7 linked regions of the Macaca mulatta genome follow. The protein of the gene in region 7 interacts with the protein of the main gene of each other region in a pairwise test. Links are inferred from orthologs where the notes say so. Each region holds a gene or a part of one and is shown on either strand. Other genes may lie near its edges.

What was found.
Region 1: the proteins of TEX11 (region 7) and DUSP21 interact in binary tests that used the Homo sapiens proteins (3 or more experiments, as listed by UniProt). The two-hybrid records come from large-scale screens. The link is inferred for Macaca mulatta from reciprocal best matches to the Homo sapiens genes TEX11 and DUSP21.
Region 2: the proteins of TEX11 (region 7) and ZNF414 interact in binary tests that used the Homo sapiens proteins (3 or more experiments, as listed by UniProt). The two-hybrid records come from large-scale screens. The link is inferred for Macaca mulatta from reciprocal best matches to the Homo sapiens genes TEX11 and ZNF414.
Region 3: the proteins of TEX11 (region 7) and ING3 interact in a two-hybrid assay, tested with the Homo sapiens proteins (2 studies listed by BioGRID). The two-hybrid records come from large-scale screens. The link is inferred for Macaca mulatta from reciprocal best matches to the Homo sapiens genes TEX11 and ING3.
Region 4: the proteins of TEX11 (region 7) and SNX7 interact in binary tests that used the Homo sapiens proteins (3 or more experiments, as listed by UniProt). The two-hybrid records come from large-scale screens. The link is inferred for Macaca mulatta from reciprocal best matches to the Homo sapiens genes TEX11 and SNX7.
Region 5: the proteins of TEX11 (region 7) and CCDC198 interact in binary tests that used the Homo sapiens proteins (3 or more experiments, as listed by UniProt). The two-hybrid records come from large-scale screens. The link is inferred for Macaca mulatta from reciprocal best matches to the Homo sapiens genes TEX11 and CCDC198.
Region 6: the proteins of TEX11 (region 7) and TSC22D4 interact in a two-hybrid assay, tested with the Homo sapiens proteins (2 studies listed by BioGRID and IntAct). The two-hybrid records come from large-scale screens. The link is inferred for Macaca mulatta from reciprocal best matches to the Homo sapiens genes TEX11 and TSC22D4.

Annotation. Positions count from the first base shown.
Region 1 is NC_133426.1:44,816,510-44,819,535, forward strand, and holds DUSP21 (dual specificity protein phosphatase 21), read left to right. Parts: upstream 1-1,592; 5' UTR 1,593-1,712; coding exon 1,713-2,282; 3' UTR 2,283-2,370; downstream 2,371-3,026. UniProt on the Homo sapiens protein: Protein phosphatase component of the sperm flagellar doublet microtubules. May act as a regulator of sperm motility by mediating dephosphorylation of sperm doublet microtubule proteins.
Region 2 is NC_133424.1:9,363,887-9,368,351, forward strand, and holds the start of ZNF414 (zinc finger protein 414), read right to left. Parts: upstream 2,949-4,465; 5' UTR 2,828-2,948; coding exon 2,825-2,827; intron 2,122-2,824; coding exon 1,809-2,121; intron 1,494-1,808; coding exon 1,386-1,493; intron 1,276-1,385; coding exon 1,170-1,275; intron 745-1,169; coding exon 401-744; intron 321-400; coding exon 260-320; intron 171-259; exon of another isoform or gene 1-170. UniProt on the Homo sapiens protein: May be involved in transcriptional regulation.
Region 3 is NC_133408.1:160,720,331-160,724,768, reverse strand, and holds the start of ING3 (inhibitor of growth protein 3), read right to left. Parts: upstream 2,891-4,438; 5' UTR 2,771-2,890; coding exon 2,743-2,770; intron 2,504-2,742; coding exon 2,432-2,503; intron 362-2,431; coding exon 261-361; intron 1-260. UniProt on the Homo sapiens protein: Component of the NuA4 histone acetyltransferase (HAT) complex which is involved in transcriptional activation of select genes principally by acetylation of nucleosomal histones H4 and H2A.
Region 4 is NC_133406.1:141,583,753-141,588,093, forward strand, and holds the start of SNX7 (sorting nexin-7), read right to left. Parts: upstream 2,947-4,341; 5' UTR 2,936-2,946; coding exon 2,756-2,935; intron 1-2,755. UniProt on the Homo sapiens protein: Involved in the regulation of endocytosis and in several stages of intracellular trafficking. Together with SNX4, involved in autophagosome assembly by regulating trafficking and recycling of phospholipid scramblase ATG9A.
Region 5 is NC_133412.1:130,593,810-130,598,097, forward strand, and holds the start of CCDC198 (factor associated with metabolism and energy), read right to left. Parts: upstream 3,001-4,288; 5' UTR 2,742-3,000; coding exon 2,519-2,741; intron 49-2,518; coding exon 1-48. UniProt on the Homo sapiens protein: May be involved in tuning the metabolism, energy expenditure, and excretion processes.
Region 6 is NC_133408.1:47,677,337-47,681,826, forward strand, and holds the start of TSC22D4 (TSC22 domain family protein 4), read right to left. Parts: upstream 2,901-4,490; 5' UTR 2,480-2,900; intron 2,045-2,479; exon of another isoform or gene 1,942-2,044; 5' UTR 1,776-1,941; coding exon 1,014-1,775; intron 1-1,013.
Region 7 is NC_133426.1:77,171,628-77,175,480, reverse strand, and holds part of TEX11 (testis-expressed protein 11), read left to right. Parts: intron 1-519; coding exon 520-671; intron 672-2,782; coding exon 2,783-2,868; intron 2,869-3,853. UniProt on the Homo sapiens protein: Regulator of crossing-over during meiosis. Involved in initiation and/or maintenance of chromosome synapsis and formation of crossovers.

The sequences.
Region 1 (3,026 bases), about 32 Mb from region 7:
GTCTGAAATTATTTTGTTAATTTTTCTATAGTTTTAAAGTTTAAGAAGTGTATACTTATGAAATAACTAGACACCAATACTAGTTTAGGGCCTCCACATTACTACATAGATTACAAAGCTTCTCCCTTAGCCAGGTTGAGCTGTCCCCAACAGACAGTTTTCATATTTATTTAGTATTTGTGTTCTATTTTCTTCCAGATAGATTTGTGGGGACTGACAATTTAAGTAATGCAAATTAATTTTATTATGACAACCGAGAAAAAGAAATATGTGTTGTGTTTTGAGGTTATCGTTTCCTTGACCATCATAAGCAGCCTGATATCTACTTCATCTTTGTTCATAATCACAGCACACCTTTGAACACATACCAAAATGATGATGGAATGAGAGCAAAGTATGTGAGTCAATTGGCTGCTCTGCGAAACAGTTTGTTAGTTTTAGGCTATAGTTCTTTTCAATTTTCAGCCAAATTCTATAAAAATCTTAGCTGGAAGGAAATGCAAATGTCAGGTTGCATTTTAGAAATTAATTTTTGGGCTGGGTGCGGTGGCTCTTGCATGTAATCCCAGCACTTTGGGAGGCCGAGGTGAGAGGATCACCTGAGGTCAGGAGTTTGAGACCAGCCTGGCCAACATGGTGAAATCCTGTCTCTACTAAAAATACAAAAATTAGTCGGGTGTGGTGGCGCACTCTTGTAATCCCAGCTGCTTGGTCGGCTGAGGCACAAGAATCACTTGAACTCAGGAGGCAGAGGCCTGGGCCTCTCCAGCCTGGATGACAGAGCAAGCCTGTCTCAATTTTTGGCCCAATTACCATGTAGCATTAACTTGTTCCAGAATGTGTAATATTACTGGGAAGACAGCATTGGTAGTGGTCAAAGTGATTTGTAGTTCACAAAGCATGTGGGCATTCTTTTTGAAGAAAGTAAACAAAATAATTTGAACTATTGTTTCAGTCATTTGAGCTGTATGTACAAACGGACTATGACACAGCTAAATTAGTCACAACTGTCCACCACAGGCCAACTTCAAGATAAAGGGTTATATATCAGTTAGCAATGCTCCCTTACAACCAGCCCTGATGTGTTTGTAAGCAGGAAAAAAATTTTATGGTTGCAATCAACAAAGAAATATCAGGCCAGTCCACCAAGCCCAGCCAAATCCCATATCTCGCTCCAGTTTTATAGAGATTAGCGTATCACATGAGCCAAATGCTGTTCCCCAACTTAGAATGTGATGTTGCTATTTTGCAGGGAAAGTGTAAGCCCTGTTCTGCAACACTGATGAAATAGAAGTATTCGTAAATACTGTGTTTAATGTGGTCCAATAATTGAAACATAAAATAGATATCTTGTAACAGAACATTTTTAAAAGTCAAGAAAGATAAGAATTAGGCCTTGGAAAATAAATGACTATGAAGAAAGATAAAAATAAAACAGACTGGGGTGTCTCTGAAGACCCTGCTTAGAGGCCTTGTCCTCCTTGCGGCAAGCGGCCATTGCCATGGAAACCACAGCCGCAGGGCTATCTGTCCGAGATTGTGACGCCCAGATGGGAGTGGTGGGAGGAGACAGGAAGAGGGTGGTGACCGATGGCCGGTCCTCTTTCTCCAACACCTAGCCTGAGACTTCGCGGCGCGGCTGCAATCCTGAACTAGCTTGGTAAGGGTTGTGCCCTGAACCAGCATAGAGAGACCTCGGACCAGCCGCCTTGATGACAGCATCCGCGTCCTTTTCATCATCTCAGGGTCTCCAACAGCCCTCCATCTACAGCTTCTCCCAAATAACCAGCAGCTTGTTTCTCAGCAATGGTGTAGCTGCCAACAACAAAATCCTTCTGTCCAGCAATCGCATCACCGCCATTGTCAATGCCTCGGTGGAAGTGGTCAATGTGTTCTTTGAGGGCATTCAGTACGTAAAGGTGCCTGTTACCGATGCTCGTGACTCTCGTCTCTGCGACTTTTTTGACCCCATTGCTGATCTTATCCACAGCGTGGATATGAGGCAGGGCCGCACGCTGCTGCACTGCGTGGCTGGAGTGAGCCGTTCCGCCTCACTGTGCCTTGCGTACCTCATGAAATACCACTCCATGTCGCTGCTGGACGCCCATGCATGGACCAAGTCGCGCCGCCCCATCATCCGGCCCAACAACGGCTTTTGGGAACAGCTCATCAATTACGAATTCAAGCTGTTTAGTAACAACACCGTGCGCATGATCAACTCGCCGGTAGGTGACATCCCTGACATCTATGAGAAGGACATACTTGCAGTGATATCAATGTAAGCCATCCCGGCCAGCCCTTGACATCTGCCATCGATCTGGCACCAAGACTGAACTTGAACACTGACATTTTGTTAGTAAAGAAAACCGGTTGGTGCCTTGTTAAGGGGCAAGAAAAAAAGGGAGGGGGTTGGAGTTTTGAATGTAGTAAGCCTTACCTTAATAGAATTAAATTCACGAAATGTAAGATGGTGAAAATGTTTTTTATCTTGTGAGGTCAAGCTATTGGGGCCTGGCTGGAACCAGGGTGCGGCAAGTGATGCTCAGCTCACATAGACCTGCCAGCAGCACCCAATACATGTGGCAGGCCTGGAATTCTGAGCCCTGCCGGAGGCCGACTAACTCAGGAGTGAATCCCCTAGAATCTCACCTGGTTCTTTCCAAACCAAAGTCAAAGCCTTAGACATCTTGGCATCCCTTGCACTTCTCCCGGTAAGTGCCAACCTAGTGGATAAGTGACTTTCATTCAAGCTTTGCTCCAGGAGCTCTGGAGGAGGCTCAGGCTACCCTTGCCCGCCTTCAATCACAGTGGCCCATCTCTGGTTTTCTAGATTGAATTTATACATTAGTTAAAAAAAAAAAAAAACTAGTTTTTTAAAAGACCATTCCACTCCATAAAGTTTAAAAATACTGTACTTTTTGAGTGCTATACTTGATGGCAAGGTCTCAAGGTGTCTTTGGTGATCTCCCACCAGCCTTTGTGAAAAGGGACATTAGTCCTTTTCCCAGGGCATATACTGAGAGAGA
Region 2 (4,465 bases), on a different chromosome or scaffold from region 7:
CGTCCCCTACTACCATCCCCAGATCCACCGCCGGGGAGAAGCCCGCTCCGAGGTGAACGGTGAAAGGGGCGCAAAGTTTACACGGGAACGCCGGCGCAGATGAAGGCGCAGGTGCCAGTCATTTTTAAGGCAAAAATTCTGTATTTCGGGACGGTGGCATTTGTGGCCCCCTGGGAAAGGGATAGGCACTGTTCCCTCCTGGTATCCACCGGACCCCGCAGGGCGCAGGAAAGCCCCTCCACCCCTCCCCGGTGGTCACCTGCACGCACCTGAGGGCGCGCCGGAGCCGCCCTGGGGTCTTCGGGGGCTGCTGCCAGCACCTGCGGTAAAGGGGCGGGTCAAGTTCAGAGTCGGGGCGAGGCCAGCTCACCCTCCTGGTGACCCCCACCCCCATACTCACCTTGGCTCTTTTTCCAGACGGCGGCGCTGGAAGCCGGCGGCCCGGGTGCAGCGGCCAGGAAGGGGCACAGGCGCGGGGGGCTTAGGCCAAAGGGCGCAGGGATCAAGTAGGGCACGAACGGTCCGGTGGCGGCAGGGGCGGGGGTCGTGAAAGGTTCCAGCAGCGGGAACTGCAGTCCCGGCGCTGACGCGAGGTCAACCTCCGGGGGACGCTCGGGCGCCGGCGGCTCTCGGTCCAGGGCCGGGGGTGGTGGCGGGGCTGGGCTCTGCGCATTCTCCACGCAAACATGTAGATGCTTGAAGAGCGAGCGGTGCGTGCGGAAGCGCAGGAGGCAGTTCTCACACCTGGGGGTGGGCAGAGAGCTGGGCTGGGCCTCCAGGGAGACCAGAGAGAGGGTTCTGTGCAATGCCACCCGCCCTTCGAGCGTGGGAACCGAGCCTGGGCACCAATCGCCTCCCCGCTCCCGTACAAGCGTGGCAGCGACCCTTCCTGACCACTACAGGTGCTGGTTTCCTGGGGAAACCCGGAAAGAAGTCTCAATTTTAAGTTAGGAGGCCGGTTTTCCACTAGGGAGGTAACGCCTCGCGGGGTGGAGCCACCCCCACTTATGCCCCGCCCCATCCAGCGATGTAGGGGCGGGGCTTCCCCCAAAAGGCCACCCACATCAAATCCCGCCCTCCAACACCCTGACCAGGAAGGGAGGAAGGCCTGGAGCCCACACACAGGGTGAGGCTAGGGCAGGGCGGAGCTCAAGAGGTCAGGGTCTCACTTGAAGTAGCGATTGGGCTTGTAGTGCAGTTTGCTGTGAGCCACCAGCTCCTGCATGCTGGGGAAGGTCTCGGTGCAGCTCAGGGCTGAGCAGCGGAAGAGCTTGCCTGGTAAGGATGAAGACAGAGGAGTGGAAAGGGGTGGTCAAGGCTGGCTCCGAGGGGCTCCACCTGTTTCCCACCCTAACCTGCCTCCCCATTACCGGTCCTGGCCCTACCTTCCAGGGACTGTGTGGGCGGACAGTGGGTTCGAAGATGCTGTGCCAGGTCACGGACGCTGGGAAAACTGAGGGAGCAGCCAGGGCTGGAGCAAGGGATTTGCTTCCCTGCAGGACGCACAGAACAGGGGTCACTGGTCCCTTCCTCACTAGTGCTGTCCCTGACCCCAGGGCTCTGCCCCAGAGAAGCAAATATGATGCTGGGGCCTCTACTCTCTGCCTACCACAACAAACTGATCTGCCACAGTGCAGGGGCTGGATTGGCCACGCTCACCATTGGAGCCACAGCCTGGCATCCACTGGCAGCACAGTAAAATGATGAGTGGCATCCCTCTAGAAAGGCCCTTAGGTTAGAGATTCTCTACTTCTTGCCTCTATTGTTCCAGGGCCCGTGACTCCCCAGAAGGTCCCATCACAGATCACCTGGAGGTGGGCGTCGTCTGGGAGGCCGCAGGTCCTCGCTGGTCCCGGAGACTATGCTGGTCGGGCCAGGGCTGGGTCCGGGGCCAGGCTGGCAGCTGTCTGGGGCTGGGGAGGAGCCCTGCTGCATCCCTCCAAGCCCTCCACGTTCCCACACTGGTGGTGTGGCTGCCTGCTCAGGGCCCGGCTCCTCCGCCATGGAGGAGGAGGTGGCGGCAGATGGCACAGCCGGGGACAACAACTCCTTGTCGGTCTCACTGGAGCTGGGCTCTGCAGTGGCCGGCATGTCTGGGCTGGGTCCTGAGGGTTTCTCCTCCTGGTGGAAGGAAGAGGCAGAGATAACCCTTCTGGGCTCTGGGTCAACCCAGTCAGCCCCCATCCTAAGGAATCACCAGCAGGAGAGGATAGGGGAATACGTAAGGTTGGACTAAGCTCCTTTTTCCTTTTTATAAAGATGGGGGTTTCGCCATGTCCCCCTCGCTGGTCTTGAACCCTTGGTCTTAAGTGATCCTCCTGCCTCAGCGTCCCAAAGTGCTGGGATTAAAGGCGTCAGCCACTGCACTGGCCCAGATTGAGCTTCTTATGTACATGGGAGAAGCATCTCCTCAACTAGGATAAGTGGGAGCCCCAGTATGCGACACAAGCGTGGCCTACAGGGAGTGGGCGGGGCCAAGAATACGGAGGCGGGGCTATGGGCAGGGAGCGACTGGGAAGATGCTAGAGGAGCTACACACGGATTGTCTGAGGACCGAGAAACACTGGCCAGCTGCGAGCCGTGTGGACAATCTTGGAGGTGCTAGGAACCCGCATGTAATAAGTTTTGGGGCGGAGTCCTAGCCTGGTGGGCGTGGTCCATTCCGGGCCCGGCCCGGAAGTAGGGCGCTCTCCGAGTGACAGCCAGCGGCAGACGGGTGCCCGGATGTGGGGGCTGGGTCGGCCGGAGGATGTATGCGCGACAGGGCCGCTTCCCGCCACTCCCCGCCGCTCCGCCGCGCCCGCGACCCCGGTGCCGCGCTCACCATCTTCGACACGGCTCGGCCTCTTGTTCCTGCGGCTTCGGCGGCTCCAGCTTAGGCGGCGGCCACCCTCTGGGCAATGCGAGCTCGCGCTCACGTCAGCGCCATTTTCCGTCTCTCGGCTCTCGCGAGGTTGGAGGCGGGGCCTGCGCAAGGCGTTCGGATAGGGGGCGGGGCCTGAGGGCAGAGTGAACGTGGAGTGCAACTTGGACGCTGTTGGAGTCTTGCTATCCCAGGGTAATCAGAGCGCACTTCAGGCGACTCCGTGAACAGAGGTCCGGGTTCAAAATGGGCACCTTCATCCCCTCTAGTCTTGTCCCAACATCAGCCCTGGACAGGCGATAAACAGCAGTTCTTATTTTATTTATTTATTTATTTTTTGAGACGGAGTTTCGCTCTTGCTGCCCAGGCTGGAGTGTAATGGCACGATCTCGGCTCACTGCAACCTCCGCTTCCCGGGCTCAAGCGATTCTCCTGCCTCAGCCTCCCAAGTGGCTGGGATTACAGGCGCCCACCACCACGTCTGGCTAATATTTTGTATTTTTAGTAGAGACGGGGTTTCACCATGTTGTCCAGGCTGGTCGTGAATTCCTGACCTCAGGTGATCTGCCCGCCTCGGCCTCCCAAAGTACTGGGATTACAGGCGTGAGCCACCGCGCCCGGCCAGTTCTTCTTTATTTTTTATAGTGTTGAGACAGGGTCTTGCACTGTCGCCCAGACTGGAGCGCAGTGATGCGATCATAGCTCGCTACAGCCTTGACCTCCTGGGCTCAGCCGATCCTCCCATCTCAGCCTCCCGAGTAGCTGGGATTACTGGCGTGCGCCACCGTGCCCAGCTACTTATTACATTCTTTTTAGAGGCAGGATCTCTCTGTGTTGCCCAGGCCGGTCCTGGGCTCAAACGATCCTCCCGCCTCGGCCTCCCAAGTGTTAGGATTGCAGGCGTGAGCCACCTCGCCTCCCCTTTCACTCACATTTTAAAATGGGTAAACAGCATCGCTTGAGCCAGGGAGGTCGAGGCTGCAGTGAGCGTGATGGCACCACTGCACTCCTGCCTGGTCGAAAAAGCAAGACCCCATCTCTAAAAGTGAAATAAAAATAAATTAAAATGGGGAAATAGTATATCAACAAGTGCAAAAACAATCTTTTGTCCTATTCATTGCAATGAAGGAAACAATGAAATGTGGAAGTGATGGGTCAGGGAAGCCACTCTGAGGAGGTGACTTCGGAGCTGTCTCCAGATGATCGAGGAGTGAGCTGGTGGAAAGCCCGAGGAGCGGGGGCTTTACCGGATAGCTGGTGCAGATGTCCTGGAGTGGGGTGGGACGGGCTTATTTTGGTCAAAGAGCAGCGAGGAGATGAGAGCACCACTGGAGTAGAGTGGAGCGGGGGTATGGAGGTCAGAAAGTGAATATGGTGCACGGCAGGTCATGCAGGGCCATGGGAGTGGTGCAGAGAGAGGAGTGTGGTTTCTGTTGTAACCACTGATGAATTTTTAGCAGGGGGAGGCGCATCATCTGATTCCTGGCAGTCACTTGGAGGAGGATGGGCTGTTGAGAGGGTAGTAAGGTAGACCTAACATCTTAGATCTCTATGATACATCATGCTGCCATTCAAGAGGTATTTGCTGAGTTCTAGGCAACT
Region 3 (4,438 bases), on a different chromosome or scaffold from region 7:
TAGAAAAAAAATGTAACTTTTAAATGGTCTGTCACTTTCTAATAGTCACTAATTATTGAAACAATATTTTTAATTACCAAAATGCTTTAATGACTAAAAATCGCTATCTGAAGCTCTAAACCACACTAAATTATTTACATTCTAAAGAGTCATTGATAATATTCCCTTATTTTGATATCCAGATCACTATTTAATTTTGAAATATCTTTTTCAGAGGGTCCCAATATTTCTTGATAAATTATCCAAAGTGTCGCACATACTTTTTTGATGGATGCCATTTGTTCTTCTCTCCATTCAGGTTTATTTTTCTTTGCGTTCATAAAGAATTCACTGACTCTTTGTTCTAGTTGATCCATTGCATCTATGACATAATAAAAAAATCATATTAAATGACCAAATTCATATACTAAATATACATGGTTTGATTTAGGGAGGGAAAAAAATCTGACAATATATACTCTTTCACTTTGCCAGTAACTTAAATATGTTATGCTTTGATTATGTAAATATATAAAGCCTCAATTACCTTCCTTTAAAAAGTTACAATTTTCCTTATTGACAGATTATTTTTGTTTTTGTTATTTCAAAATTTTTTCCAATAGCCAAAGTAGAGTCAACAAAGTAGATCGGCTCTATCCTATAATTTTTGAGCAATACAGCCTTGGGGTCAAAAGCTATAGGTGTTAATCAGACAAATGTACCAAAACACAATGAAAACACCATTAGATAATCCTCACATTTCTTTCAACAAGAAAAAGTGATAAAAAGATTTGGTATAAGGCATTAAACATCTCATCATGTCATATCCCAACTGAAAGTAGTAGGTGCAATCATTTAAACATTAATTCTAGATAAATTTTCCCCAAATTAAGTGCTAAGACTAATCATCTCATTGGATGTCTGCTTAAAAAAAAGGAAAAATTAATAAAAAGGATTCTGTTGTTACGTAAGTTGAGAAAAATCTTTTCATAGCATACTTCTTTTGGAGATTTTCAGTCCACAATAGCCTTTTAAAGACTCTGTGAAGTACTATGGTTAATTTTCAGTATCTTCCTTTGTTTAAATAAGCATTTCTGAATTTATTTGGCACACTGTTCTGTTAATCCATAATATCTATTAACTTCAGAAAATTCGTTACTGTAAAGAAATGCACGTTTAAAAACCCTGTAATATGTATACTGTAAGCCCAAATTATGAGAATTTAAAATTTTAAACAAAATATAAAAATAAATTTAAAATAAGTTACCCTTTATTTAATGCCTACTTTGTATCAGATACTATAAATTCTAATCCATCTGTAATATTTTAAATCCTTAGATGATTCTCTTTTTACAGACAATGAAAGCCCCACACAAGTGGTAATACAGTCAGAGTCAATGAGTAAATTAGTAAAGCCCTAAAACAAACTCAGATCTATCTGACATCCATGTCTATGCTCAGTCCTGCAGAAAATACTTCAGCAAATCTTTAGCATTTCGACTACACTAAAATTAAAATGAATTTGTGAGATAGCTGGAGAACCACACACACAATTCATACTTCATACCACAATCCACTGAACAGAAGGTGGCTTCCATGCCACCACTTTTTATTATGTGCCACCTGAAACTTACTGGAAAAATATACGCATAAACAAAGGGTATAGAAGTGGGTGTGTGGTCACGGGCAGAGAAGACAGGGGCAGTGAAAAGGACAGGTTCTTAGCTGCAGCAAGTGGTCCCTAAGCCACCTATTTATAGTCCTTGCTCTACGAAAGAGTAAAGTTAATTTGGGGAAAAAGTCACAGAGACTACCAAGCTATCACTGAAAGAAAAATAAATGTTCACTAACTGCTAAAATTTTTAGTACAGCACATATGAAACTTTACAGTGAAATCTAATTTCTGTCACTCATTATAACCAAGAAAATGACGATTCTGTTACAATTTAAAATGTACCTTATAATGTGTAACTAAGTTTTCAAAATTTGACATTCGCCAGGGTCTCTAAAGAGCTATATATAACCTGTGCTTCTATGCTCTCCACTCTTGAAAAACTGAATAGGATGAACTTTAAAATAAGTATAAATGCTGAAATCTAAGTTCGATACGAAAAGGCTCAAGACAACATCTCAACATTTATTATGCTGACGTGCATTGAAACATAGATAACTATCTCAATGACGGTAGAGAAATATTTTTTGCACAATCCTACATTCTAGAAAGGAATACACCTGTCCCAATGCCGCCTCCTCTTGCAAAAGCCAGAAAAAAGTAGCATGGGAGGGAAGGAAAAGGCGAGATTCAGGGCTGCCAGTTCTTTTTGACAACTCCTTATGCACTAGCGGAGTGAGCCAGAGGACAGTGAAAGAGCATTAGGCGCTAGCAGTGATGAAAAGCAAGTCTGGCACTGAACGCGCGCAGCCAACATGAAGAGCAGACGCGCCGACTTACTCTGCACCTGCAGGTCCATCTCGCGCATTTCCGTGAAGCGGTCCCGCAGATCCATAGGAAGCTGCTCAATCACTGTCAAAGGGAGAGTCCGTCAGAGGGGCGGGGCCAACGGCGAAATACGCGCTTACGTCACTGCGCGCGTGCGTCAGGGGGGTCGAGGGGGCCGGCAGCCCACAACGAGGCTGCCAGTTACCGTGAGAGAGAAACATCCCCCGCCGCCCCCTCCCTCCCGCCATCTCGCTGCCCGTCCACTCGCGCTCTTGCCCTCCCGCAGGTCCCACCGGCGGCCGCCGCCAGCGCCGCGCACTCACTTTCCAGATAGTCTTCTAGGTACAACATCGCGGCCCTTAGAGCTGAGGGAACAAGGGGGTCCAGGGGTTTATTTGTGTCACTCGCTGTCGCCGGAGTTTTGTCCCTTCCAATATGGCGCCTCCGCTAGCAGCACCCGCTCGACTCCGGCAAAAAAAAAAAAAAGAGAAAAAAAAAAAAACCACTTTGGCGCCTGACGGCGCTTGCCTCACTGCCGCCCGGAACTGCTATTGGTTGGTTAAAGGAATGACGTAAGCCGGCCGGTGTTCGCCCCCGTGCCTTTGTGGGAAATGTAGTTTTCTTCCTGCTGAGCAAGGGTTGGCGCGCTGGCGGCTCCCCTCGTAGAAACTACCAATACCAGGCGCCATTGCAAACAGTGCGTAACAGAATCCGAAATGCGGTGCCTCTGTTTATTTGTTGATTTTTGCACAGAGAATGGCGGGAGTTGTGTGCGCCTGCATAACACAACTAGGAACAACTTTTCACCTGTTCTTTGCTGTGATTCCATGCCCCGGCGTTTGTGAGTCATGGGTTTCAAGAAGTGCCAGGCAAATAGCAAAGGTTCTAAACGCTAGGATAATCAGCAAAGTTCGGGGAATTTGGGTTACTTAAACCAGAACTCTCTGCTGGAATTTATCCTCATTATTCACTCCTAAAATATAAGAGAGACACCTGGTTGTCTTACGTGTAATTTTGAAATGGTTTATACTGAGACTGTGGAGTGAATATGCATTTCCCAGATTAAAAGATGCACAAATAGTGTCAATAGCCACTTACATATTGTAGTTTGCAGTCCGTCTAATCGTCATTCTAATGTAATTGATCTATACATACAATGTGCACCCACAAATAATAGTAATAATCATCATCATCATCATAGTGAGCAGCCATGAATTACGGATGGAGCCTTCATCTCGAATAGGCTGTAATAGCAGTAACTTTATGTTGAGTAAATAGTCCATATTCGAGGTTGGTTGTCTTGGGCGTTCTTTTTCTACTTTTCGACGTCTCCCAGCGAAGGTTTTCCTGTGATATAGTTAGTACGTCCCTACTCAGTTTCTTTTTACATTGTTTTTATTAAAAACTCTTGCATTCAATAAATACTAGGTGTTGTTTTCCTCTCTTCTTAGCTCTTCGATTTTCTGGGGAAATTGTCATTAGTTGATAATTTATTTTTCATTTTCTGTTTTTCAGATTGCAGTTGAAACTGTGTGTGTGTGTTCCCTGCTTTCCTTCTCCATTACATACTCTTACTCAAGGTTTTCACTCATCTTAAGCAGGAAACTTCCCTGTCGTGAATGATGAATCATGATGAATCTCAGCGGAACCTTACTTCGATCTGAATAAGAATTAGAATTTTTTAGTTTCTAGTTAATTTTTTCATTACTTGCATCTAAAATCAAGTACTTTCAATCTTTTTCTCCCTTCTTTTCCTCCTTTCTTCCTTTCCTCTTTCCCATCCTTCCTCCTTCTGGTTGCTTTTAAGATCTCTTTGACGTCTTTTTGCAGTTTTGCAGTGATCTAAGTCTAAATTCCTTCCTTATTCCCTTTTCTTTCCTTAAATTTTTAAAATTATGCTTAGGATTTGAGGGGATTCCCGAATTTCAGGATTGGTGTCTTGCAACAATTCTAGAAAATTTTCAACGATTGTCTTTTCAGTATTGCTTATTTCTCATTTTTTCCGTTAAGACTTACTCT
Region 4 (4,341 bases), on a different chromosome or scaffold from region 7:
AACTAAATCTTGTATTTCTTTTTTTAATCATACTTAACACAAAAATATGTATTTGTCATGTACTTGTAATATGTTGTGGAAAAAAAAAAAGAAATAATACGAAGTTTTTTGTTTTTCTTTTGAGACCAAGTCTCATTCCATCACTCAGGAGGGAATACAGTGGTGTGATCTCAGCCCACTGCAACCTCTGCTTCCCAGGTTCAAGTGATTCTCCTGCCTCAGCTTCCCGGGTTGCTGGGATTAAAGGCTCCCACCACCACACCCAGCTAATTTTTATATTTTTAGTAGAGATGGGGTTTCACCATGTTGGCCAGGCTGGTTGCGAACTCCTGACTTCAAGTGATCTGTCCGCCTCAGCCCCCCAAAGTGCTGGGAAAATTCATACTCTTTAAAAAGCTTCTGGAAGAGGGCACCAGGCACATATTCATAAATAATCTAAGGGAATAAGGAGACTAAAAAGGTGAATGTAAATTGAATATGCAGGTTGCCAACCTCAAAGTACTAAAGGGGAGGACAGTCTGCTTCGTAAGTAATTGTGAGATTCCATCCTAGGGTAGGCTGAACAGCAGTGGTGTTTGCTTTATAGAAGAGCAGGCAAGGAAGGGAGTAGTGGAAAGGGAAGGCCACGTGGAGCAGCCTTTCTTAAATTTGCTTGCTTAACTACAGATAACGGTTGAGAAATTCAACTTACTGAAATGGATAAAAGTGGCTAAGTTTAAACTTTTCCAACTATTCTTTTTGGATTTTCACTAATATTATTATCTTTGCCTTAATCTATGTGGGCAGTTTCTACAGACGTTGTTCTTAACTTTTTCCAAGCATCCAAGACGCGCAGTTAACACGAAAAAGCAGGGTGGACCCAGGTGTACGGGCTCATAGAGTTTGGAAGGTCCACTTTTAAAAGAATACAAAATTAGGTGGAAAAACAAATTATTCAGATGAGAAAAGAAATCTCAATAAATGATTGGAGCCATGGAGATCTACATTCCTTAGTCTGAGAGAGCTTTAGGCAATTCACCAGAAATGCTTATTTAGAAATGCTTCTGGTTGGGACCTGTCATTTCCTTCCCACCTAGAACATCTGCAACTCCAGTAACCCCCAACACGCCCAGAGGTCTAAGCAAACGAATAGCGCTGAAGCTTCAATTTCATTAGCTTCACCTTAGATCTGCCTCTGACGAGAGGACCTCATTTAAACATCGATTCTTAAGAGCCAGCTAGGACACTTAGAATCTGGGGAAAGAGAAACCGCTTGACAGGTTTAAAACAATCCCAGGCACTTTGGCTCAAGTCTGTAATCCCAAACCCTTTGGGAGCTGAAGGTGGTAGAACCCCTTGAGGCCAGAAGTTTGAGTCCAGCCTGGACAAAAAAAAAAAGAAAAACAGAAAGAAACCCCGATTTTTCTGATACAATATTGCCATTTCCAAGATCCCATCCATTCCATTTTGAAAGTTGCACAATGCATCACCATAGACTAATATTTCTTGTCTAAACAGCAATGTAAAGAAGAAAAGAAAGTAAATCACTAACTGGCCAATTGTTGTTGATCTGAACATAAAGTATGTGTGGAATATAAAAAGGCAGCGTTTACCTTTTACAACTAAATATAAAATAATTCCATTGTTTTACTATTTAATAGAAAAGTCAAGAGCACAAAACTGTGATAGTCTGTTTAAATATTCGGAATACAAACCTGGGCCTATCATTCCATGTAACCCGAAGTAGAAATAAGTTTTACATACTCCTTTTTGGAGTCAGAGTATGCATGTTCACTTCCTAACTTGGATTTGCTCTCCCAGAGTAAATGCGGTGGTTAAGAGGTCGTTTGCTTTACCTAACATCTCCAGGTAACATTAAAATGAACAGGCTTCTTAGTAATTAATACAGCGTTGTGATCTGAACTCAGGTCTTCTCTCAGCAGCAACTTGAGAAACTGGAGCGACATTCAACCTCCCTGCAAGAAAGGTATTTTTCTTTTCTAAAACCCTTTAAGAAATTACAGCCACCAGTCTACACGTACCAAAAGTCTACCACTAGCCCACACAAGTCAATTTCCCTCCAACTGTAAAATAAGGAAAGAAGAGCCTTTGGTCCTAAATTTCCCGGGGGCAAGGAAAAACGAAAGCGCCGGCTGTGGGTTGGGTGGCAGTAGCTGACCATCTGAAAAATTCTTAGCTCCTCAGCGGAGGAGCTTCCTGTTAGAAACAACCGTTTTCTCCTGTTCAGGGAGATTTCCTCGAACCTATTCCCACAGGACCTGAGACTTACCTCGGGTGTCACCCAAGTCTCAAATCCACAACCAACAACACTAAATTAAGAATAATTTCTCTAAACTCGGCTAATCTCTCTCCCAGAGTTCAGGGCTGGCCTCGCCCGAAAAGCAGCTGGCGGGGGCGGTTTCGAGCCACTAGCCTCCCAGGTTCGGGAGCTGCCGCGAGGAGATGTCTGTGTCAGAGAAGCAGAAAGGGAAAACAAATCACAACTTTGCAGACTCCACGAAGCCACAGCCCCGCCACACGGAAGGTCAAAGTACGGAGGAGGGAGCGGCTGCGGTTTGAGGCCCCGAGGCGACGCGGCCCCGGCTGCGGCCAGAGCTGGCAGGCGGGATCCAGCAGCCCGGGGGACCTCACCCGTCCCCAGCTCAGAGCCGCCGCCCCGGGAGGGCGAGCGCGCCAGAGGCAGCCGTCGGCGCAATGCTGGCAACTCCCGGAGTTGCCTTGGAAGTTTCCCGGGACTCGCCGCCGCCGCCCTCACCTTGCTGAACACCTCCAGGTCGTCCTCGTCCTCGTCCAGATCCAGCACCTCCGCCTGCAACAGCGCGGAAGAGCCGCTGCTGCCCGGGAAGGGGGCGCTGCCCCCCGGGCTCTCCCCGTCGGCGCCCCCGGCCGGGAGGCCCGAGGAGCGCGCCTGAGATGCCCGGCGCTCGCCCTCCATCCCGAGAGTGCGCGCCCGGCTGGCCGCCACCGCCGCCGCCAGCCCGGCTCCCCCGAGCGTGCCCATTGGCTCCCGCGTCTCCTGCGCCTCCCCGGCCGGCCCCGCTCCAGCCCCTCGCCCGCTGCGCAGACGCGGAACTGCCGGGACCAGCGTCGGCCCGGGCCGGGCGCATCCCCACCTGGCTTGAGGCGGGCTGGAGGGGCGGGACTGGAACTCTCGGACTCCGGCTAGGGTGGAGAAAGAGTTGGCTGTCCCCTGGAGAAGAGGAGAGGCTCAAAGGTAGGAGGTGGGCGTCCTCGCATTGACCCAGTCGGGGGCCACCGAGTGACCGTTTCCGCGGTGGCGGGGTCGGGGAAGAAGCCACGGAGCGAACCGTCCACTTCGCGGGATCCACAGAGAGGCTGGAAGGCACCCGACCCAGCCTGCCAAGAGAGAAAAAACAGCAATAACAATACTGTATTTCCTCTATTCAGTGGTTGCCTTTCTTCTTGGTTGTGATTTTCGCGCTAATGTAAAAATAAAGACATGAAAACTTCCCCTGTTTCGTTAATTGATTTTTGACCCAGTGACTTGCCTGTGCGGTCATTTCACTGTCGAGCCAGGAAAGCTGAGCTTTACAAACTATTTTCAGCCACTTTCAAATGCATCTTTACTCCTGGATGTCTTCCTGAAGTTAATGAGCAGAATGTTACCAAGACCCAAGGACAACTAGCAAGTCTGGAAAATTGCCACCGAAAAATAATCTTCAGTCCTTGCACTGCCAAGGCAAAGCTTTAATTATTTAACTGCTTATTATTCAAAAACAAAACTAAGTTCCAAAAACAATGGAAAATTGAGCCCACGTTAATATATTTTTAAATTTATCTTCAGGTTTCATTATTTACTTCCGTCAGCCCCACCTCTTTTCTGTAGGCCCATTTAAAAATGTTTAAATACATTGAGCTCTATGTAAGAATTCCTTATTTGGGAAAATAGAGAATATCTTTATTTCTGATTAGAGGCAAAGCCTTAATAATGTATTTTCTCCTATCATTCAAATGTATTCCCGTTGATTTCAAACATGCACCCACCCTTCAGTCAGGTTGGTCACTGCCCCATGAATATCCAAATTTGTTCCTGTGCTTGATGATTTCTGTACTTTAAATGCCATCTCCTGCCCATCCTTCAGAAATTAAATATATTCCCATCTCTTTCAGAAAGACTTTCTAAATGACTGTTCTCAATTTAGCATTTAATTTTATTCCGTCTTGCAGATTGTATTTGTTTCATGTACAAGTTTTACATTCCTTAGTAAATGATAACATGTTCAGATTGGGGATCCTGGTATGTATTAACCACAGTATCAGATGTACTCTCAAAACGCTCTCTGCTAAGGTCTGTAAAGAATATAAGTTATTAAAAGACTT
Region 5 (4,288 bases), on a different chromosome or scaffold from region 7:
TTGTTTCTCTGTGTTCCAGTGGGATGTCAAAATCCACATCTCTGGATGCTTGAAGGATTGGAGAAGAAACAAGAATAAAACGTTAAATATAATTTACTATTAGATCAGGTAATCATTAGTTACTAGACTTTATCAACACAATTTTGTACCTTTCCAGTTATATATGTCTAACCTGTAGGTTGAATGTGGAGATGAAACACAGAAAGCAGGGAACCTACATTAGTGCAAATGACACTGTTTTAGTCTAGACTTGGGATTTAATATCTGCTCTCCTAACTTCCTACTCAGGTTCATATTTAGGGGAAGAATTACAAAATTACCAATATGTTGACTGCAAATATTTTTCAAACAGAATTTGGCCTGGAAAATAGAAATTTATTGACTTGTTTTAATTCCATAAAATCTCCTCACTGAAATATAAGACATCAGAAAAATATATAACTTTAAAAAATGAAAATAATCTTCTTAGATGAAATAGATGATAGATAGATAGATAGGTGATTATACAGAGATGAGACAGAAATGGAGTATGTGTGAACACAATTCAATAGCCCCTTTAGTGAAAAAAATTTCCACAGATTGCCACTATAATACAGCATATCAATATTCTTTCCTGATGAAACAAGCCAGGGATACAGAGTTAAGCCTCTATTAGGAAACAGAGAGGCTCAACAGATCCATTATGGATTTTATTTTCCAGCTTGATTATCCTGAGCTCTTGGGAGTGCTACCATGACCAACGCTGCATGAGTGCAGTTCTTGTCTTTCCCTTTTAATAATCTGGACACATTCTGATTTCTAGATTGTTTCACAGAGTATTTTACAGTCCCACTTTGCATTTTAAATGGAAAAATCCATGGATAATTATGCATCTTTCTCTTTAAGACATGTGAATGACCGCTTTAAGGACTTTGTTCTCTCTGACTTTTAGTGGTATGCAAACTATGTCCTTATTTTCTTTTGAAAAGATGCCAGCATATTGAGCAGGATGGAAACAACAAACATATTGGATTTAAAAATGTAAGTATTTTCAGCTATTTTTTCAGAAATCTTACTAATCCTTATTTTTTTATTTTAGTGATGTTAGTCCATTATTTAATTAGATTCTCCTCAAATGGCATAGGCTGTGTCAGGCATTTATTTTTACCCCTGATTACAAGTGAAAAAAATTGATGAAGTAACTTGCCCAAGGTCGTTCGATTTGGTATTTGATGGAGCTGCGGTGAGAATATGGGAGATCATCATGAGAATCCTCATGATCTCCTTGTTATTTATTTTCAATGTGATTTTGTCACTTCAGACATAAGCATGTTTTCCAGTTGGGACTCTAAAGCACATGAATCAGCTTTCACCATTTATTCAGTTACCTAAATCTTTTTTTTTTGAAACAGAGTCTCTCTCTATCACCAAAATCTTAAAACTCTCAATGGGGATTTGGATAAAAAGGGAATTCCTCAGTAGGAGCATTGCATACTCTTAGTGCACATTCACCCTCCATTTTTTAAATCGTGTCTTGTCACCTATTCGTCTGTCATAAAAAATTTCCTAAGGGGAAAATTCCCATCTATGTGCTTAAGAACTTGAAGACCATAAAGAACATAAAAATAGGCCATATAGAAACAACCAAAGGTTATCAATTCTGCAGACAGTAGACATGAAAAATCATTCCAGGCAAGATTTGCTAGGTACCAAAAGAGAATGTGAGGCTTTCTGAATGAGGCATCCAATAAGGGAAACTTATTTGTGTTATTGATCCAGAAGGTGAAGGAAAGGGAAAACAATATACATATGCATATATATATATAAAAAATAAACATATATTTTTCTAAGTGAAGATGTCTGTTTAATTATCATTGTGGTCATGATAAAACATTTTACATGGCTTATAAAATATTCCAGGATAATTTATAGCCACTTCAGGCTCAGAGCTTCCAATCATAGTGGGAAAGAATTCTGTTAGTTCTGCAGATGACCATGAAGAATGTGGGGTTGGGAAAAGGGTGACTCATCCACTCCAATGTACTGTAATAAATCAATTCTGTTTAGGGTGGTTTCAAAATTCATGTTAGAATTAACTCACTCTTAAAGTGCTGCTTTCAAAACCACAAAGCCCGGTGCATAAAACTATACTGGAGAGAATGATTTAAATTTAGAATTTAACTGAAATGCGATTGCTATCATTTATCACATTAGTATCTATATAATTTTAATGGTCTGTCAAAGCTAGGTATAAATATTGAAAGCATTACAAACTGAGCTGAAACAAAATGATTTATCCTTCTCATATGGAATGGTGAAAAGCCCTTTGTACAGTTTATACTCCCATTCTAATGCACCCAGAATACTTTCAATTGACATTCAATCCTCTTTGAAAGATTTGAGTTTTCAAAGATAGCCTAAATTCCTCTACATTTCAGTAATTTAGAAACTTTCTGAGATCATGGAGACAGTCAGATAAATCTATTAATAATGCTCCTTGGTCCAGATACACACATCTCATGCTGGGTTTTATGTTTACCTGCATAGTATCTTCCATACCAGTTTTCTTGTAAAGGTGGCAGCTGCCCTTCCAAGGCTTTATTCTGGTCCTGCAGTCTTGCCAGTGAATGTGAAGTCTTTTCTTCCAAATTCTGATTGAATGCAAAGTCCACAGGGCCAGCTGAGGGAGTCTCTACCTCTTTGTTTTGCAAAGGTGCTACTTTGATCACCCTCGGGTGAGTCTTAGAGTGACTCAGGCCCATTTCATGTGAAAGACATTCAGAGGAAAGCTGCGAGGAAAGTGGTTTTGGGGTCTTTAATATAGCTTGTTTTAATCAAGGCATTTCAGAAGTTTACCCTGGCTTTACAAAGCAGTCATTTCCTTCATGGCATCCTTCTAGCTCTGTTTCACTGCACACTAACCCTTTTGGCCACTTCCTGGGAGGCTGGTTTCCATGGAGACTTCCCTTCAACTTTGCCATTTCAGACCCAAAGAATCCAGTTAAACATTGACTTGGTTATGCTGCTTTCTGAAATACTCAGTGATAGGAATAGAAGCCACTATTGATCATTAAACAAATATCTAACACCAGGAAGATTATTAACACAGAGAGAGATGTAGAGCAGAGGTTTAGAGAAGTCTTGAACTTGACGCTTTCACTGCAAGCACCTTTGTAAAAAAACTAACAGCTGAGAATAGCTAAGCCATCTTTGCAACTAAGAGGATGCATGCTAATTACCAAGGCCTTGTTAATCTTTAATTTAATTGAAGAATTTATCCTCCAAGTAGGAAAGAAAGCAGCGGAGTGGCTAAAGCGTCATTTGATTTTTCTGTTGATGACTTCAGTTGCCTTTGAAGGGGATGAATACATTGCAGGACAGGAGGATAATAGAAACTTTTTTCCTGGGGATGAGGGGAAAAACTTCTTAAACATAAAAAGATAGCCTATTTACTATGTTTTTAAATTTAATTAAATTCATTTATTTATTTTTGAGACAGAGTCTCACTCTGTCACCCAAGCTGGAGTGCAGTGGTATGATCTTGGCTCACCACAACCTCTGCCTCTCCAGTTCAAGTGATTCTCCTGAGTCAGCCACCCAAGTAGCTGGGATTATGGGCACCTACTACCACCACACCCATCTAATTTTTGTATTTTTAATAGAGAAGGGGTTTCACCATGTTGGCCAAGTTGGTCTCAAACTCCTGATCTCAAGTGATCCACCTGTGTTGGCCTCCCAAAGTGTTGGGATTACATGCATGAGCCACAGTGCCCGGCCTATTATGATTTTTAAAGTAGAAAAAAGACTAGAAGGAAATATGCTGAAATATTGAGTAGTGATTTTTGAATGGTGGGATTATGGGTGATTTTTATTTTATTCTTTATACTTAGAAGTGGGACTAACTTTCAAGCTCTAATTGTTCATGACCACAGATTACTTGTGTGTTCATCACATCTCCATAGAGAAATTAAAAGAAAATGTATTTTTCATCTTTGCAGAATCCATTTCCTAAGGGACTAAGGTGGTGTTTGGAAAGTCTTGGTAGACAATCACATTTATCTAAAAAGATGCCTGAATTTAGTTTTTTCCTTATTCTCTTTGCATTTTCCACATCATTTTCTCTGCAGCAGAGAGATTTATAAGTAAAGACTAATATATTAACAGTATCTGCAAACAAAACAACTTTTGGTAAACAGACTAGTTTAATTACAAGGATAAAAATACTTGAACAAGGTCTAGTAAGATTTATTTTGGGGTACAATCAGTTTAATTATTTCTAAGGGCAGAGGAATGTATTACAAACTAACAA
Region 6 (4,490 bases), on a different chromosome or scaffold from region 7:
GACCGGTCCTGACAGGACCCAGACATCCAGTCCCAGGTTATTTTTATACTGTGGTTTGTGCCCAAGGCCAGGAAGGGGAAAGAGTTCGCATCCTCACACCCCCTGCCTTTCCCCAGCCCTCCGAGGTGTTATATTCTCCCCGCAGGACAGAAGTATCCCACCCTTTTGTCTCTGGCTGCTCACCCCCACCACGGGGACCCAGGCATGCTGCCCCCCCAGCCCGGACTTGTTCCTCTTTTGGAGACAGGAAGGAGAAAGAGTATGGGACTGAACTCCTTCTGGGGCTTTTCTCCCCCACTCCATGGTGGTCACCCTGGAGTTATCAATCACAGAGAGGCTCAGATGGAGGGAGTTGAGACAGACAACTGGGGGGTGAAAAGGATCAACCAGCAAGCCCCCTCCCCATCCCTGAGAGGTGTTCCCCCCACCCAATTTCTCAGTGACACTTGGCCTACAGCAAAGCTGGAGGTAGGACTGAGATGGGTGGCTGGGGGAAAAGAAAGACCCCTACATTCAGGATGGGGCTGCAGTGCAGAGACTAGCAGCGCGCAAAGCCTACCTTTTACCTTTCCTCCCCAAATCCTGGCAGCTCCTCCCCCAGGGACCCAGCTACCCAGCTGAGGCCTCCACCCTCATCACCTAGAGGCAGAGGGGCTGAGACCAAGACAGAAGAAGGCCTGGTGAGGGGGCCACATATGCTATAGGCTACATGAAGACCAAGACAGAGAATCAGAGGCCAGGGAGAAAGAGAGAGGGTGCAGAAAAACAGGAAGGAGGCTGAGACAGAAAATGAAGGAGGAGGAAGGGGCTTCAGAGTGACCTGGCAGGCACAGAGAAGAGGGCTGTCTGATCTGATAGACAAGTAATGGAGGAGGAGGGGGAGGGGGAGGGGAGGGGAAGGGACGGGAAGGAGGAGGGGGAGAAGGAAGGGGAGGAGAAGGGGTGGGAGGAGGGAGTCCCAAGATAGAGGTTAGGCCAGGGCTGATGGGCGAGCCCTAGAACCCAGGTCTTACCTGCCCCATCTCCTCTGGAGCACCCAACTCCATCCGCAGCCGCATGTCTACAGCTTTCCTCCGGGACAGTGGAGGGGTCCTGGTCCCTGAGCCCCCAGCCTCCGCGTCCACCCTCAGAGAGGGCAGGGGCGTGGCAGCCCGGGATGTGCCCGCACTCTCACCGGTCCCAGGCTCTGGGGGGCGCTGCTGGGGTGGGGAGGCCGACAGTGGGGGTGTCTCTGCCTTGGCTTTGCCGGGCACCACCAGCTGGCCCAGTCCCCCAGTGAAGGAGCGGGCCTGAGGTCCGGGAGAGGTGGGGGGTGGACGGAGCCAGGAGGTGGGGCCCTGAGACAGGCCTGACTGTGGGGTGGGGGTGCCCAGGCCGAGGCTGGCCAGCTCCAACCTGGAATCCAAAGATCTGCCCCCGGCGCCCCCTGAGGCCCCTCGAATTCCCTCCAGGAGTCGGCCGAAGCTGTGGGGCTCCAGGTCTCGCTCATAAACATCCACACACGTCCAGCGACCACGGCGATATGGCTCTCCCAGGCCGTGGGGCAGCTTCACCACCCGGAAACGGGAGGAGGGGGCCCCAGGTGGTGGGGAGCCATTCCGGGGGGTGCCCTTGCCCCCCGGATCAGGGCTGGGCTCCCCACTGGGCAGGCGGGGCAGGGGCCCGGTGGGGGGCTGTGGAGTAGGCGGATCTGAAGTCCCTGGGCTCCCCGGGCCCTCATAGTCTGTGGTGACGCTGGTGATTTGGAAACTACTCTTCTTCTTGCCCCCGCTCATGGTCCCTGGGGCTCAGGGCTGGGCCAAGGTTGGGGGTGGGTTGGGACTCCTTGAAGGGGCTCAGGCACCCCTGGAACAAGGGGGCCACATGGTGGGGGCATCCGGGCCCCTGGGGACGTCTGGGTCCGACATGGCAGGAGGGCCTGGTGGGAACCCGGGGTGCCTGCTGGGTGAGGGGAGAAGAGGAGAGGGGAGGTGGCGGGAGGGGGGAGCACGGGCAGGTTTTTCCTGCTGCTGTTGCTGCTGAACTCCAGAGCTGAGTTTGCAAACTGGAAAAAGAGGGAGAGAGAGAGTGTGTGTGTGTGTCTGTGTGTGTGTGTGAAACCAGTGGGCAGGCCACCTCCGGGGCTTCCTCTCCGGGGAGCAGAGTGGGGGAAGGGGAAACCGTCAGAGACCCGGAGACAGGCAAGAGATGACAGAGACCAGGGCAGAGGGGACCAGATCCAAAAAGGCGCTCAGAGTAGGAAGAGGCAGATGAGTTCCAGAGTTGTGCATTTCTCATCTGAGATTCTGACTCAGGGGGCGGGTATTGTCCCAAGAGCTTGGACTCCAGGGCCTGGGAGAACCGGGGTGAAGCAGCTCCCCAGCCTGGCCCGGCCACTCAGAGAGACCTCTCCTGGGCCTCGAGCCCACCCCAGCTCCCACATCCCTGGGGCAGGCCCTGCCCGGCTACCCCCAGCGCCCCACCCAGCCCCGAATCCTACCTCTGGGGCCTCAGCCACTGATCTGAGCCTGAGGGTCCCGGCGCCTAAGAGGTCGGGCTGTGCGTTCCCTGGGGCCTTCTGGCCAGGGGGAGTGGCGGGGCACGCAGGCGGCGATCAGAGGTTGCCCCGTCCTCTCCGGGGGCCTCAGCTCATCCTGGGAGGCATCTCCGAGGAAAGTTTGCTCTCCGGAAAAGAAGGAACCCGCGGCTCCTCCGAGGAGCCCAGGAGCGGCCGCTGAAGCCCCAGGGGTCTGGAGACTGATGTGGGAGAGGGCGGCCGAGCCCCCCGCTGCTCCCGGTGGCAGCCAGCGAGTGGGTGTCTCGAGTCTCCTCCCGCGTGGCCCCGCTGGGTCCGTGTCTCCGCTCCTCCGCTCCCCTGGGTCTCTGCCTCTCCGTCTTTCTCCTTCTGAGCTGTTGACAACCCCCACACCAGGAAGTCCTGCCTCCTCGGGCCTGCTGACTGCTCCTCTCCTCCTCCTCCTCCTCCTCCTTCCCCTCCTCCTCCCCTTCCTCCTCCCTCCCTCCCTCCTGGGGCTTCCCGCCAGCTGGCCCGGGGCCAGGCCTGCCACAGCCGCTGCTGTTGCAGTTGCTGCAGCCACTGCTTAGGCTGCTGCTCCTGGGGGCCCCAAACAGACTCTCTTAACCCCACACCTGCCGGGCCCAGCCCCACTCTTGCAGGCAGGGGCTGCAGAGGGCGGGGCTCGGGGAGAAAGGGGAGGAGCTTGCAGGGAGGCGAGGGATTCCCTTACTTGTAGTCAGTTGCTGCCATTGGCCTAGAGACACACAGAAGAAACGGAAGGCACAGGCCGGGAGGTGTGCTGGATGCCCACCCAGAAGTGCCCAGTCCCTGCTGCGGGGCGGCTGTGGCTGTCATTCTCCTTTGGTTTTCACAGCAACTGCATGAGGAAGGTACTATTATTCCCCCCATTCCTTATTTTTAAAAGTGGATTATTGCCGGACCCCGGTGGTGGCTCATGCCTGTAATCCCCACACTTTGGGAGGTCAAGGAAGGAGGATTGCTTGAGACCAGTTTGGACAATATAATAGCAAGACCTCGTCTCTACAAAACAAACAAAAAAAATTGGCTGGGCATGGTGATGTGCACCTATAATTCCAGCTACTCAAAGGCTGAGGTGGGAGGATCCCTTGAGCCCAGGAGTTTGTGACCAGCCTGGGCAATATAGCGAGATCCCCATCTCTACAAAAAATTAAAAAATAGCACTTTGGGAGGCCGAGGCGGGCGGATCACGAGGTCAAGAGATTGAGACCATCCTGGCCAACATGGTGAAACCCCATCTCTACTAAAAATATAAAAATTAGCCAGGTGTGGTGGCATGCGCCTGTAGTCCCAGCTACTCAGGGGGCAGGAGAATCACTTGAACCCGGGAGGCGGAGGTTGCGGTGAGTAGAGATCGTGCCACTGCACTCCAGCCTGGCGATTAGAGCGAGACCGTCTTAAAAAAAAAAAAAAAAAAAAGCTGAGTGTGGTGATGTAGACCTGTAGTCCCAGCTACTCAGGAGGCTGTGAGGCAGGAGAATCTCTTGAGCCCAGGAGGTTGAGGATGCAGTGAGCCTACATTGTGCCACTGCACTCCAGCCTGGGCAACAGAATGAGACCATGTCTCACCAAAAAAAAAAAAAAAAAAAAAAAAAGTGGATTATTATGAAAATTTTCAAACGTGCCATGCAGACATGGGGAGACCATGCAAACTCCACACGGATGGTGGTCCCAACCCAAAATTAATTTTTAAAAAATCATCAACGTTATAATGAAATGACATTCAATGAAATGACATGTGGGAGCCAGCTGTATTTTGCTGGACTATTTGAAACCAAATCCTGGATGTTATACTATTTCCCTTTGCCCCAACCACTCCCCCACATTTTTTTTAGAGACAGGTGCTCTCTCTCTCTCGCTCTCTCTCTTCTATTGCCCAGGATGGAGTGCAGTGGTGTGATCATAGCTCACCACAGCCTGGAACTCCTAGGCTCAAGCCATGCTCCTGCCTCAG
Region 7 (3,853 bases):
GGATTTTAATAGGGATGAATATCTGTAAATCTGTAGATCACTTTGGGAATATCAACATGTTAACAATATTTAGTCTCCCAACCCATGAACTGTTTACATTTTTAAATAGAAGATATTTGTATTATTTGTGTAATCAAACACAAACAAGTTTTTAGAAAGACGTTTTGGCAGAGGAACTAGTAAATTTCTCATGTCATTTCATGTAACTTCACTGGATCTCAGTAACCAATTTTTAAAGCTTACAATCAGTTCTGGGAAAAACATAAATTAGATATTAGGAGAGAAATGATTATCTGACTATAGGTGTTAATAGAAAATGTTTATGGCTTAATAAACTGAAATTAAATTAAATCATGTAATATTGACAAATTAAGCTTATTTAGACATTTAATAACATTACCTGAATTCAGATATGCTTTTATCTGGCTTATTTTGTTCACACTGAAATACATTTTAGTCCCATTGATCAATAACCAGTTTTTCTGTTCACATTGCTTAAAATTGTGTCTCTTTGTACAGAGAATCTGTTGGGTTTCATTTCCTGACGATTATTCATGAACGTTTTAAGTCATCAGAAAATACTGGAAAAGTTCTGCTACTCTATATTGACATGCTTTTACAAAGGAAGGAAGAACTGCTTGCCAAGGAGAAGATTGAAGAAATCATTTTAGGTCAGTAGGATTTTCGCAAGTGTTTTAGAAAGGTATTAATTTGTGTATAATTCTTAGAGGTCAGAGTAGTAGCAAAATCCTCAAGTCAACGGATTTCTTCCACTTTCTTTTTTCCTTCCTCCCTAATGGTCTTTTAACAGTAACACCTCACCTGTCCACATCCCACAAATTGGGCAAGTGGAATGAGAAACTAAGCGAAAATAAGAAAACATTGAAAACAAACAAACTTCTGAGCTTAAAGCTCACATATGGTGGAATATTGTAATGTTACAAGCCTAATTTCATATCTCTAGTTTGATCTCAATTTAGCTGTGTACCTTTGAACAAGTCAATTTCTCTGGACCTTGATTATTTTCAACTATAAAATGATGATTGTGAACTAAACTCCTGGTTTCTAATTTCTTTTCAGCAGCAGCATCCTTTTGTGATGCAGTCTTGTATGAACCCCACCCTGAATGGAATAGATTAGAGTTTTTCTGGTTAAAGCAGAGATGTAGAGCCAAATCTGCTCAGCATTCCCCTAATCCTCTGCCTCCCTGCAGAACTTCTGTACCCTGAAGAACATAGATAGTATGATCCCTTTCTTAGAAAATTATCTTCACCACCTTGTCTTTCCAACTAAGTGCATGTAGAGATATAATTGGATTGATAGTCACTAAATGTTAACTCTGGGGTTTATTCTGAATGGTGGCATTTTAGGTGATGTGTTGCTTTCTTCTAAATACTCTACCATATTGTTTGAATTTTTATAAGCACGAATCATGTTTCTATAAAAACAAAGTCATTAATTTTTTAAAGGAAGTCATCTGACTAGATGATCTCTAAGAACCATATTTTACTGATAACACCCTCCCTCCAGGCATTTACCAATTATTTTTAGACCCAGTTTTGATAAACTTGGTTATCCAGTTTTCCTACTCTTAGCATTTTAATGGTAGCACTTTGCAAATAGAGAAAAGGTTTAAAGGGAAGTATACAGCTAGCCTGACCATAGGGAGGAAAAAAACTCTATCAATTTTATAAAACAGATACAAATTTTTTAATATAGCAATCTGTACTGTATAACAACTCCCAAAGGCATCGCTGTGATATATTAATAGTACAATACAATAAAATAGTTGTTAATGTTGACCTCAAATGGTCAAGAAAAAGTTACATTGTGCTTAAGAAAACTAGGAAGTTTGTTTACTTTTTAGAAAATTTAAGAACTTTCATGAAAATATTTAGACTTTTTAAATTCAGAAGTGATTTTTATTTAAAGAAAGTAAACTGCCAGTTAACCAGAAAACTTGATTGTAGAGAATAACTCATTTTCCTAAAATTCCACTTGGACTAAGTTTTATTGTGACATCTAATTTACACTTACACTCTCAAAGTATTATAATATTTCAAGTAGACACATTTAGTAGCTGTTTACTCTCATGCGAGTGTTTTTAAGTAAGTCATGGAACAAACTACATTTGCTGATTGGGCTAGAGGGTCAGAGATTCTTAATGTTCTAGTCAAGACTTTTGTGGAAATTGATAGTTTATGCCAAAGGGCAGAAGAGGAGGTACAGAATTCTATTATAGTTTAGACTTTACCTTAATGTGCTAATGTATTTGAACTCTGTAAATGTCTAGACCAGAAACAATCAACGCAAGTTAAGATTTAAAGTAATAAAGTTTATGTGTAAGCATGGTCTTAAAGTATTTTACAAAGGCTTTAAGGCATAATTGGCCTTTCTTGTGAACTTGATCTGATCTATTTAGTACATAATAATATAAGCACTTCTTATTAATGATTTCTGGCATTGCTGTCTGCTCATTCACAATAACCTTATTAAGGCACCAGATGATAATCTAATTTGGAATGTGGAAAATAAGTTAAAAAGAGAGTAGGCTGGAAAACTATCACAGATTGATGGGAGAGTGACTGTGATTCTAGCAAACTCTGATTGCATTATATTATCAATTATGGTAGTAATCCTAAAACTGATGGTGAAAACCTGTCTGAATTTTTTTTTGTGTAGCCATTACTTAAAGATTATAGGTTCTGAGTATAGTTAGCACTCTTTACTTAATGTAATAGACCTAGATTCTTGTTTTCAGAGCTTTCTTTTTTATTTTCAGCTCACCAAACAGGAAGACAACTGACAGCAGAATTAATGAACTGGTTACACAACATTCTGTGGAGAAAAGCTACCAGTAGTTTTGAGGTTTGAGAATAATCTCCTTTTCATTCTTTATATTATTTCTCCACTGCAACAAAAAATAGTGCATTCACTATAAAAAGAGCATCAAATACTTTAATAATCTGTCTGTTTAGATACTATATATTTATTAAATATTCACAATGTAGAGTGTTAATGAGCATTGTGCAAGAGTTTATTAAAAATAATGAGACATGATTCCTCTCCATTGAGGGCTTACAGTGTAGGGAAATGTCATTGCTGATATTAACATATAGGAATGTAATTTTTTAAACATGAGGGCTGAGAAATAGTTTTATTCCCTTTAAAAAGTTATGGTGTAATAATAAAATGGGGAAAAAAAAGCCTTTACAAGACAACTCAGGTTTCCTGCAAACTTAAAAATAATTTTTTTAAAGCAAAGAGCAATCATTTATAATTTTGGTATATTTCCTTCTAATCTTTGTGTATTATACATTTATGTCCCTGTGTATATAAATCAAATGGGACTTACCATTAAAAAAAAAGTTGTGTTTGCTTCCACTTGCAATTAATATGTAGTAACAGGGACTGTTTTATGTCCCTTCTTGAACAATAAATCCCTCTCCACAAAGGACAAGACAAAATAGACGAAAAGAAAAAACAATGACTTTTATGGCACTGAACAACAGGTAATGAAGGAGAATGGTCCCTGGGAGATAAGAAATAAAGCGAGCATTGGCCGGGCACAGTGGCTTACGCCTGTAATCCCAGCAGTTTGGGAGGCTGAGGCGGGGAGATCACAAAGTCAGGAGATCGAGAACATCCTGGCTAACATGGTGAAACCCCGTCTCTACTAAAATACAAAAAATTAGCCGGACGTGGTGGCGGGCGCCTGTAATCCCAGCTACTCGGGAAGCTGAGGCAGGGGAATCGCTTGAACCCAGGAGGCAGAGGTTGCAGTGAGCTGAGATCGCGCCACTGCACTCCAGCCTGGTGACAGAGCAAGACTCTATCTAAAAAAAAAAGAAAG